3 linked regions of the Caenorhabditis elegans genome follow. The protein of the gene in region 1 interacts with the protein of each later gene in a pairwise test. Each region holds a gene or a part of one and is shown on either strand. Other genes may lie near its edges. The genes, in order: K04G2.10, eif-3.D and arrd-24.

What was found.
Region 2: the proteins of K04G2.10 (region 1) and eif-3.D interact in a two-hybrid assay, tested with the Caenorhabditis elegans proteins (one large-scale study listed by BioGRID).
Region 3: the proteins of K04G2.10 (region 1) and arrd-24 interact in a two-hybrid assay, tested with the Caenorhabditis elegans proteins (one large-scale study listed by BioGRID).

What each region holds. Positions count from the first base shown.
Region 1 is NC_003279.8:8,058,177-8,061,100, reverse strand, and holds K04G2.10 (uncharacterized protein), read right to left. Parts: upstream 1,298-2,924; coding exon 623-1,297; downstream 1-622. Other genes in the region: F18C12.4 (Small integral membrane protein 29), read left to right, coding at 1-141, 190-258.
Region 2 is NC_003281.10:8,969,091-8,973,629, forward strand, and holds eif-3.D (Eukaryotic translation initiation factor 3 subunit D), read right to left. Parts: upstream 2,489-4,539; 5' UTR 2,487-2,488; coding exon 2,305-2,486; intron 2,259-2,304; coding exon 1,299-2,258; intron 1,252-1,298; coding exon 823-1,251; intron 781-822; coding exon 639-780; 3' UTR 545-638; downstream 1-544. Other genes in the region: Putative RNA polymerase II subunit B1 CTD phosphatase rpap-2, read left to right, coding at 1-144, 189-338, 390-537; R08D7.4 (Complex1_LYR_dom domain-containing protein), read left to right, coding at 3,131-3,544, 3,598-3,898, 3,970-4,071, 4,227-4,361, 4,417-4,539.
Region 3 is NC_003284.9:13,978,416-13,982,151, forward strand, and holds arrd-24 (Arrestin C-terminal-like domain-containing protein), read right to left. Parts: upstream 2,103-3,736; 5' UTR 2,092-2,102; coding exon 1,910-2,091; intron 1,866-1,909; coding exon 1,760-1,865; intron 1,666-1,759; coding exon 1,503-1,665; intron 1,460-1,502; coding exon 1,350-1,459; intron 1,305-1,349; coding exon 825-1,304; 3' UTR 654-824; downstream 1-653. Other genes in the region: F48F7.6 (Zf-C4pol domain-containing protein), read left to right, coding at 1-365.

The sequences.
Region 1 (2,924 bases):
GCCTGGAAATCTGATTCCTCAAGACATTTCTTTTACAAGCATTGGACAAATCACGTGTCAACATCTCAGAAGCTTAGTGAAACATTCGAAAGAGATTTCGATCCAGTTCTTGAGGGAATGAGCGATAATGACTATGCAAAGGTAAGAACATAAATTAAATTAAATTTTCAATTTTATTTCATTTTTCAGAAAAAGAAATTGATTTTGGACATAATGCGATTAGTCAGAAGAAATGAACTCGTAGATGATGACAATTGATAGAACTTGTTAGAAATTACTTATTGGAATAAATAAAGTTTTCGTAACATTTAATGAATTTACCTAAATATGAAACCTGAGAACATTTATTTTTCAATACTGAGGGGCTTCCATAGCCATTGATTTTTTTGGGTGAATGAAAAGATTTAGCAAAACAATTTTCCAAGAAAACATTTAATTGTTTTTTAGATTATTTTAAAAGTTAAATTATTTTACCGAAATGGGCAAGTTTGTTGCTTTTATGAAGACTCCTGACTCCAAGGTTTTTCAATATAACGAAAAATAGTCATTACAGACTTTATTCGTAAAAAGCAAGAAAATAACATAAAGCATTGAAAAAAAAAGAGATTTTGAAGTTAGATTATTAGTTCTGGAAAATGAATTTATTATCGAGAACACCAGAAAGATTTTCCTTGTTTTCCTGCTTTTCCTCACTATTTACAGACTTCTCGACACATGAGGAGTCTTTCATTTCCAATTCCGATTGAAGAAGTGCCATTTCGAATTCCATCTTTTCAATTACTTTTTTCATCGAACCAATTTTCCGTTTATACTTCTCAATACTTTCTTTTTGTCGATCATCATTCTCTTCCATATATTTGACCATGTCTTGTTGATCCAATGCATAATCACGAAGCTTTTCATACTTTTCACTCCATTTTTGTTCAATAGCATCTTTCCATTCTTCTAATGGATATTCTTCTGGAGCTTCAACCTTTTTTCTCATTTCAATCATCAATTGATCGTTGATCTCCATCAACACTTTTACCATTGGATGGTCATGAATTGAATCTTGAGATTCTGTTGATCCTTCCTTTTCGACTTCCTGAATAGTCTTCATCTTCCGATTCTCACATCGACGCATTTGAACTTGTCTCTCCAAATCTTGAATTTGAAGTCTCATGGTGTTCTTCTCCACTTCATTACAAATGTTTGTCAGGTACCTCTCGTCCATCAACTCTTGAACTTTTCGAATTTGACGATTACATCCTGGGCAGTACATTTGATTCGAGCTTTGTGGTGGATTATAGCGTTGCATACTTCTTTTTAGTGTTGAGTTTCTGAAATAAATAAAAAATATAAAAATTAATGTGTTCCAAAAAAAATAAAAAATAAGGAAAACAAGAACAAAGATGGGTAATGTTTGATTGAGCACAGTAGCAGTCGATATATCGGAGACGAGCGTTTTCGTGTCGAGACCCAAAGCTGCAATCGATAATGTAGTGCTGTAACTAGCAAAAAGAATGGCATAGGAAAGGAGAACATCTGCTCCGATGACATCATTTCTCTCTTGCTATGAGATCGATATTATCTGGTTCCTCTCGCACCTGTTTATGACATTTACAAAGAAGTACCAATTTGGTAGATCAAAAAAGATTTCGAGAATGTTGGGACTGGAACAAAATTTTTTATAATATTAAGATTTTTAGTCGCCGACAATGGTTGCCCATTCCAACGTGCTATTCGATTTATGTTGGAGCAATCGACGGGCGAATTCGTGGTAGTACAGATTATATGCTTCATTTATCAAAGTTGTCTATGATTTATTGGATTGAAAGCAAAAGTTGGAGATTAGCTCAAAGTGAAAACTGCAGAATCAAATTGAACTCCGGCGAAATGCATGAAATATTAACTCTCAATTCAGTATTGCGGAAAACTGGTTGGAATCAGGAGTTGACAGATCTTTGAGACAAGAAAATGTGAGGGAATTTTCGCGTCTCCCGGTCATGTCCAGATTACAACAGTTTTCCGGGATGCTGAATTGATATGGAATCAGATAGAGCCGTCTTTATTTTTACTTCGTTTCTACTCGCTTTAGTTTTCAAAATGTTTCAGGTCAAGATCAATGGGACGAAGACGACTGAAGTAGGACGTGAGAAGATCATAGTAGAAAAGATTTCCGGCGTCGACTTGATTCGGAACCTCGCCGATTCGCAAAGATCAGTGGCCTCAACATAATTTCAGTTTCGTTCTAAAAAATTTGGGAAAATCAGTTGTTCAAACAGTACAAAGATTATGAACTCATTCTTAAAAACGTTATATTCCAACTCGAAAAAATCTTCACCTGTCGGGTTAGTAGAGATTCAGCTTGTGTGGTTCCTGCAAAAATAAAAATTCACACTCAAGTATAAATGTTTTTTTTTCAGAAAATACTTTTCAGGAATTGTGTTTTGTTTTAATCCTGATCTTTAATTATAAATGTCTCAGTGAACCGCCCGTGCAGAATATCAAAATTTCTCACTAAGCATGCCTTTTCACTACAATCGCATAACTTCTTTGTTCATGTGTTATCATGAATTTGCCATTTTCTCATCAATAAGTCTCCTTCTCATTCATTTTTCTTCATTTCTTTGTATCTCTAAAACCTCTAACACATGCCCGACCTTGACAGGGTAATATGCTGATATCCTCCACTCATATATGTATATTGTTGTTTTTTTTTGTCCAGTTGTTGTACGATTTTTATGATTTTTATGGGTAGTCTGGGAGACGAATGTTTGCAGTTTGCCGAACAAATATAATAATTCTGGAGTTTTGAATGTGTCCAGAGGAAAAGCAAATGTAAGAAGAAGGTGTGACCGGTTGGAAAAGCTGGTATCTGAATTTTCACAACTGAAAGTTTAAGTGGATATAAATGTACTGGAAAATATTAATACCACTTTCTA
Region 2 (4,539 bases), on another chromosome or scaffold:
CGGTGGAGCTGCTGAGCAAATTTTGATGGATTTTTTGTCCGGTAAAAAGGTGGACGCGGAGAAATTGGTCAATTTGCCGAATCTTGATAAGTACAATGTGAAAGAGAAGAGATTGAATATTTTCCTGCATTCTATTAGGAATCAGTGAGTTTATCTAGCAATTTTAAATATTAATTTTGAAATTACAGCTGGATGGATTTGGAAGCACGTTTACATTTAACTCCAACTCGTCGTGATATTCTCAGTCGAGTAGCTTCGACATTCCAACTCGATTCGGAAAATATCACTGGCTGGACAAAGAGAGAAATTAATTCTATCGTTATTGCTCTTTTCATTGTGTAAGTTCTAAAAAATGCATAATTAAAAAATTTCAAAATGTTGAAATTTAGGATTTGCCTCGTCGATGTTGAGCTTGGAGACGACTACTTCAAGAAGGACAACGCTTCTCCAGAACTTACTGCGATTTCCAATGAACTATGCGGGCTTGATTCTTTCCAAATTACCGGTTTGCACGCTGCGATTAAATCCCAATGTTGAATGATATTTTGAATAAAGTTTATCTTATCAGAACCAAGTTTAATTAACAAGAGACAATAATTAGAAAAGCGAATACAAGAAATTGTCAGAAACCGGGGACTTTATTGATCGTCATCCGAGTTCTCCTCGTCGGAGCTCTCGCGCTCGCTTTCGAAAGTTCCTTCTGGAAGCGAATAAAGGCGGATAACCGGAGATTGTGGATCCTTCATCAACAAGTACTTTCCTGGTTTTTGCTTCATACAACTGGAAAAAATTGATTACCAGTCTGGATGTGCTCGTTCTTACCTGTCAATGACGCATCTAAGAATTCCCCAGCAGTTATCCATGTTCAAGGCGATGTTGCTAGCAAACTCCGTTGGCTTTACGTATTGGGTGAGTAGAATAGAATGATTTTGTGTGCTGCGTGCATTGTTACGAGACACATATCCGAGCTTCATTGTGTCGGAACCGGCAAGAAGTGCTTGCAGAGTCCACTTTGCAACCTTAGCTGAGTTGTTCTTGATTTCGGTGGCCATTACGGCTCCCTTTTGAACATCAAGCTTTGTTCTCCAGTCGACACCTCCAGATTGTGTGCTATCCCATTCGTTGAATGCCTTGATTGTAAGAGTCTGAGTCTCATTTCCGAGTCCGTGAATAACTCCATCCAATTCTGTACGGCAAACCAACTCAACTGGTTTTCCATCAACTCCGTTTCCAAGATTCCACTTACGGTATCTAAAAATTGTTTAATTAAAGATCAAAATTTTAAACGAAAATCCTACTTGTAAGCAGTTCCTGACTCTCCAGTCTCCTCGTCTTCGAATGGAGCACGAGCATTCTTGAAGGTGAATCCTGCGTCGTTTCTCTTGACGACTTGACGACGGAAGTTTTGGTTAATGTAGAATGCCTCGGTCGCAAGATCCTTGGCATTGTTGATACCATTTCCGTCGAATGATGGTGGTTCGGCACTAGTCTCGGAAACAGTAAGGGTCTCAACTGGATTCAAAATATCTCTAGTGTTTCTCTTATCGAAGAAAAGTTTGTCTCCGACTCTGTAGGCAACAATGTCCCACGAGTAGACCGAACGAGGAGCAGTCATCAAAGTAGCAAGAATTATGTCTGTTCCGAAAACATTTCCAGCACCACCTTGAGCAAGTTCTTGAATTACAGGATCTTCCGTTGTGGTGACATTGTAGAACACGCCAGCGCATCTTTGAAGCGGAATAGAATTTTTCACAGAAACGCGATCAATAGTCTTGTCATAGTATTGAAGACTTCCATACTGGTGATCCCCAATGTCGTCTCCTCCTGGGATGTTAGGAAGAGCAAGTTTGGAAAACGCACTAAGATTCATTTCTTCAAGAACAACCCATTCCGGTCTAACTTGAACAGATGGAAGACGTTCCTTCGGCCGATCACCTCCGAATCGACCACCTTGTCCGCGTTGTCCTTGACGAGCATTTCCTCCACGACGTTGCCACATCTTGAAGGCACGTTGTTGCTCCTTGGCGATACTTCTCTTCATTCTCAAATTCGTTGACTGGTTCACCATCTCACGCTTCTCATTTTCTTTCTGCATCATCTTACGAAGATGCATTTGGCGGACACGGAAGTTGCGCTGTGGATTGCGAGCCATTGGTTTAGAAGTGTCAACAAGTTGGAAGTTATGCTCATCCATTCCATGAATGTAATCGAACTGACTTCCAGCGTTGGCGGCGGATCCATAGACACGCTCATTGTATCTAAATTTCAAGTTTTAACGATACCACTCATTTGTTGTATAAAAACCTCTCATTTCCTCTTCTATAGAATCTATCAACACCAATCCAGTCGGCAACACGTCCGATGCGATCAGCCTTGTTGAATTGTTGGAATGGAACAGGCTCATCAGCAGAGGAACTCGACGCCAATGGACCCCATCCGACTGTATTATCAGCCAATGACAACAGTTCAAACTTTGGTAGAGCCATACCTGAAATAAATATAAAATAGTGTTGAAATGCAATTTTAGGCCAAACGATAGCAACGACAAAAGAAATGGAAATGGAACAATAACATTCGAGAGCATTTAAAATATAGTTACAAGACTTTCATGAATTTATATAATTCACAAAACAGAAAAATTAATCAGAAAATCGTATAAAAATGTGAAAAATCCGACAAGAACGCGTGTAAAAATAAAAATGTTTAATCGAGAAATGCGCAAGGTACACGAAACGCGCCAACATTCGCCACTTGACGCCACCTCAATTTTTGGTTTTTATTTGTTTTCTCCAAATTTCCTCGCATAATCAGAATATAATTCCAGAAACGGGTCCACCTTGATGAATACAGTGCCACAAAGTATTCGAGTCATTCAGCTCTATCGACAGATTTTAAAATTGGGCAAGAATTGGAAAGCAAAAGAAGAAACAAATACTGTAGTTGAGAGACAACAAATTATCACTGAAGCTCGTCAGGCTTTCCGAGAGCACCAGCAGGTATTCTCGTTCTCAATATTGATGTGGAAACTAATTATATGGGATTTTTCAGGAAAAAGACCCAATAGTGATTGGCAAACTAATCTATCAAGCGGAGCAGCGAATCGTTCAAGCAGAACACTACGGAATTCCACATGCAAGACCCGAATACCTTCCTCCTGATACCGCTTATTCAGTCAGAACGAAAACGCAAAATTTTCACAAAATGTCAAGAAAACGGAGAACTGAGCGGGATGGTCCACTCAGAAAAGGAGACAACTGAACTCCAGTTCAAAAGATTTTATTGTAGCGCTTCAAAAATTCCGGATCAGCTAATGAAGGATATTGTAGAACAATGCATAAAAGATTCGGAATATGCTGAGAATCTTTGCAACAATGTCTTCAATAATGAAATTGTCACATCGCATGAAATTCGTTACAAATTTCAAATAAATGTTCTTAAAAACTTGATTTCTGAACTTCAAGCCAATAATGTTGTTGTTCCTGATTCAATGTTCGACAGGCTTGGTTCTCTAATGGGAATGAAAGAAGGAGAATATGTGGAAAGAGTAAGTTTTTAAACAATTCGTCAGCTCAAATGGAAATAATTTCATATTTTCAGGTTTACCTAACCGATGGAGGCGACAAAGTTCTAGCGAAATTCTCGGAAGCTGTAAATCAACTATCAATGGGTACAACTGGCTTATCAGTTTGGCAAGCTTCTTGTGATCTCGCCAATCTTTTTCGCTTGATTCCCTCCGAGTACAATCGAATATTAGAACTCGGGTCAGGATGTGGTGTTAGTGGAATTGCAATTGCAAAAATGAATGATTGTTGTGTGACGCTCACTGATTATGATGATAATGTGCTGAATCTTTTAGAAGAGAATATTGCGAAAAACGATCTGAAGAGTGATACTGAAGGTATTTTTTGAGAAATAAAATCGACTCCTTCCGTATTTCAAATTTAAAAATATTTAGAATCTAAATTGTAGATTCGTCAGCCAACAACAATCAAGCAACAGTTCGCTCACTCAATTGGTGTGATTTTGATTTCTCTGAATGGAAGGAACCCACGGATTTGATTATCGCGGCCGGTAGGTTTTGCTAATACTTTTATTTGTTAAATTCTTTGTTTTTCTATATGATATTCGTGTGAAACGAAACCCTTCAAATAACAGCTTCAGGCACTCATTATCCAAGTCTTCTCATTTCTCTGTGTCTCTCTTCTCTTTCACGTCTCCTTTTTCAGATGTTGTCTACGACACTGCATTGCTCGCCTCTCTCTGCAATGTGCTCAATCTTCTGCTCCGCCACTCAAAAGCTGCTATCGTTGCGTGCACTCGTCGTAACGAGTCGAGTATTGAGTGTTTCGAGCATCATTTGAGTTAGTTATTTTTCTTTCGTACACAATATTTTTCTATTCACTATATTTTTTACAGAAATGGCAAAACTAGAAATTGTGGAAAAATTCGAATACGAAAACGGTGCCTACACAATTGGAGAAAATTCGTATCATTATGCATCTATTTTCCCATTTTTCTCAACTCTCAAAACACCTACAA
Region 3 (3,736 bases), on another chromosome or scaffold:
AGGAATATCTCGAGAAGTATCTAGAGATTAAAACCAGAAATCGCATGGAACAATTGGACATTGTTCAAGCCAGAATTGTAAGAGAGATGAAGGCTGTAGCAATTGCTCAGGGAAAATCAGAAGAGGAGGTTGAGCACATTCTGGCAAAGCAAGGACGTAAAGCTCGTCGAATGCAAAGATCTGAATACAAACACGCAGAGGAAGACAATAAAGGTGTTCGCCAAAGACTTGCCGCCAAACTTGTGGCCAAGAAATCGGAAATTATTGAGCGTTTCTGCCTTGCTCAACGTACTGTCTTTGTTAAAGCAGATTGTCCAAATGTCTATGGCCGGACAACCACTCACATTTCCTATCTTTTAGAATAAGTTGCTGTCGTCGTTGCACTGTTATCTTGTTTCACTACTGCACAAAAAGTGGCTCACAAAAAAATCCTGTAAAATTGTCTATAAAAATTCACCGTCAATCTCGAATATCACTACTCCTCATATTATTTTCTGAAATGTTTTTTTTTAAACTTATCTGTTGATTGTAATAAACTTGTAATTTACAATTCATCCTTATAGTTTTTTGAATCTACCCTACCTTATTTTTTGCCAAATGAATATTTTTGAAACTCAATGTTTAGCAATAGAGAAAGAAAATTGATTGACTAATGTAAATGGCCAGAATTTTATTAATTCACAATTATACAAGAAAAAATAAAATAAAATACCCAATTAAATTTTAGTTACACACATTGATTCCTCATAAGACGGCGGTAGAGCGGATGTTCCCGCTGTATCATCGGTCGGAGCACTTGGAACCACAGTTGAATAGGCTGGAGGTTAGGAATCCAGCCGCTCAAGGACAGGTGGATCAGACGGAAAGGTAGTTACCGTTGGCTCCACGATCGATTCAGTTATTGGCACTGTGCCGATGATGATATCAAACTCGCAGTGCAATGTATTATTAAGGGTTGTTAAAGTGTCCAACCTCACAGAAAGACAATACTCAATGCTGATAATGGGACTTGTAAATGTTGGTGGCGACTTTGGGATTTTCATCCGCAGCATTTCACGGCCAGCGGTTTTTGGAGCAATTTTTATGCTTTTTCGAGCTTCTGCAATACGTTTGCTTTCATCCTTGTGATGTTCGTGGTAAGACGAATGAGTGCATAAGAGGCCATGGTTTTTGCTAGCATTGTAATGCGAGTGCTGATGAAGTTCAGCTCGCACAAACGTTGCTGCACGTTTGGAAGCATTGTCAATGTCGATTGTGATTGGCAGGTATTCTCCAGGAGCATATCCTGCTTTGGGGATAGTTACCTGAAAGCATTAAATAACCTATCAATGTAGCAGCGTTGTACTCACAGTTATTGTTACTATTCCTTTTTTAAATATTTGCCCAATGTCCTTCACATCCTTCATCATTCTAGGAACATTTCCCAACGGAAGATGATTCAAGTCAAAGTTGGGAATAACTGAAAAATAACTTTTTGCGCACATTAACAATTTTCGAAATACCTTTGAAGTCTTCCCTTTCGTTTTTGTTGAACTTCCATGGTCTGTCAAGCTCAACTCGCACGGAATAACGAACGTGGCCGTGGAAACCTTCAAAACTAGGTGGACATTCTATCGGGAGTGGAAATGCAAACGGGAAGACATGGTGGCCAGATGGAAGTTTTTCCTGTAACAATATTGTAGTTTGTTATCAGTTAAATGCATGAAACTAAATACTCAAGATCGTCTTTTGTACATTACACTTCCAATTTAAGACTTACAGTTCCATTTCTTGCACTCCATGCAATCGTTTCTCCAGAGACGTAGTCAACTTCTGCAGAGTAGTGCACAATTTCAGTATAACTTTCCTCTTTTCCTTCACAATTACTAAACTCTTGTATGTCATTAGGTCTAGATGTCTTGGAGCTTACGTTCTGTATCGTCGTTCCCCTTCACTCCACTTCGTATGCGCAGCACCGTGAATACAGATTTTCAAGAATCGGGCAGTGATTGGCTCGTTGGATCTCAAAACAACCTGCCCAGTAACAGTTTGACCTGGTGCATAACCTCTCGGGCTATCGAACACAATTCCAAAGTGATCCATATGTTCCATATCTAAACTAAAAAGATACAAGGAAATTTAGAATTTTAATTAAGGAAAATGTTGTATGATTATAAAATGAATGAAAACTGATAAAATGAAGTGGTTATCAAATAAATTGCCGTTTTATAATATATTGTGACTCAAAACGCGTAATCAGGAGGTAAAATGTCGTCATCAGTCTTATACCGTGCGTTATTTGATTTTTGTGAAATCATATTTATATTATAAAACGGCAATTTATTTGATAACCACTTCATTTTATCAGTTTTCATTCATTTTATAATCATACAACATTTTCCTTAATTAAAATTCTAAATTTCCTTGTATCTTTTTAGTTTAGATATGGAACATATGGATCACTTTGGAATTGTGTTCGATAGCCCGAGAGGTTATGCACCAGGTCAAACTGTTACTGGGCAGGTTGTTTTGAGATCCAACGAGCCAATCACTGCCCGATTCTTGAAAATCTGTTTTCACGGTGCTGCGCATACGAAGTGGAGTGAAGGGGAACGACGATACAGAACGTAAGCTCCAAGACATCTAGACCTAATGACATACAAGAGTTTAGTAATTGTGAAGGAAAAGAGGAAAGTTATACTGAAATTGTGCACTACTCTGCAGAAGTTGACTACGTCTCTGGAGAAACGATTGCATGGAGTGCAAGAAATGGAACTGTAAGTCTTAAATTGGAAGTGTAATGTACAAAAGACGATCTTGAGTATTTAGTTTCATGCCTTTAACTTCACAGAATATTTTACTCTCTGGCTTCACAGAATATTTTAATCTCTGGCTTCACCGTATATTTTACTCTCTGGCTTCACAGAATATTTTACTCTCTGGCTTCGCAGAATATTTTACTCTCTGGCTTCACCGTATATTTTACTCTCTGGCTTCACCGTATATTTTACTCTCTGGCTTCACAGAATATTTTACTCTCTGGCTTCGCAGAATATTTTACTCTCTGGCTTCACCGTATATTTTACTCTCTGGCTTCACAGAATATTTTACTCTCTGGCTTTACAGAATATTTTACTCCCTGGCTTCACACTTTTTTGAATTTGGTTTCGAAATTCTGAAAGAACACAAAATTTGCAACAAAATGGCTACAGGATTTTTGAAAAAGTTAGTTTGACGCCAGATTCTAATTTTTGAAAATTGGAAAATCTACTAATTTTGCATGGTCGTTTTTAGTCATTCTCAAACTGTGCACTAAAAGGTATGACTGAAAATCCACTTTTTCTGCTTGAACTCCGCTAGAGGAATTTCTGTATCCGAATTATTTTTTACAGGCATATACCTTGACGAAATTACAAAAAAAAATTTTTGGAATTTTGGGAGACTTGATATGGCCCTGAATAGAAAATTTTTTTCTAAGATTATTGGTAAAGTTCGGGACCTGGAAATTAAATTTAAGCCACGCTAGAGGGGTTTCTGTATCCGAATTATTTTTTACAGGCATATACCTTGACGAAATTACAAAAAAAAAATTTTGGAATTTTGGGAGACTTGATATGGCCCTGAATAGACAATTTTTTTCTAAGATTATTGGTAAAGTTCGGGAAATATACGGTGAAGCCAGAGAGTAAAATATACGGTGAAGCCCGAGAGTAAAAAATACGGTGAAGCCAGAGAGTAAATGTTATATATTTTGTAA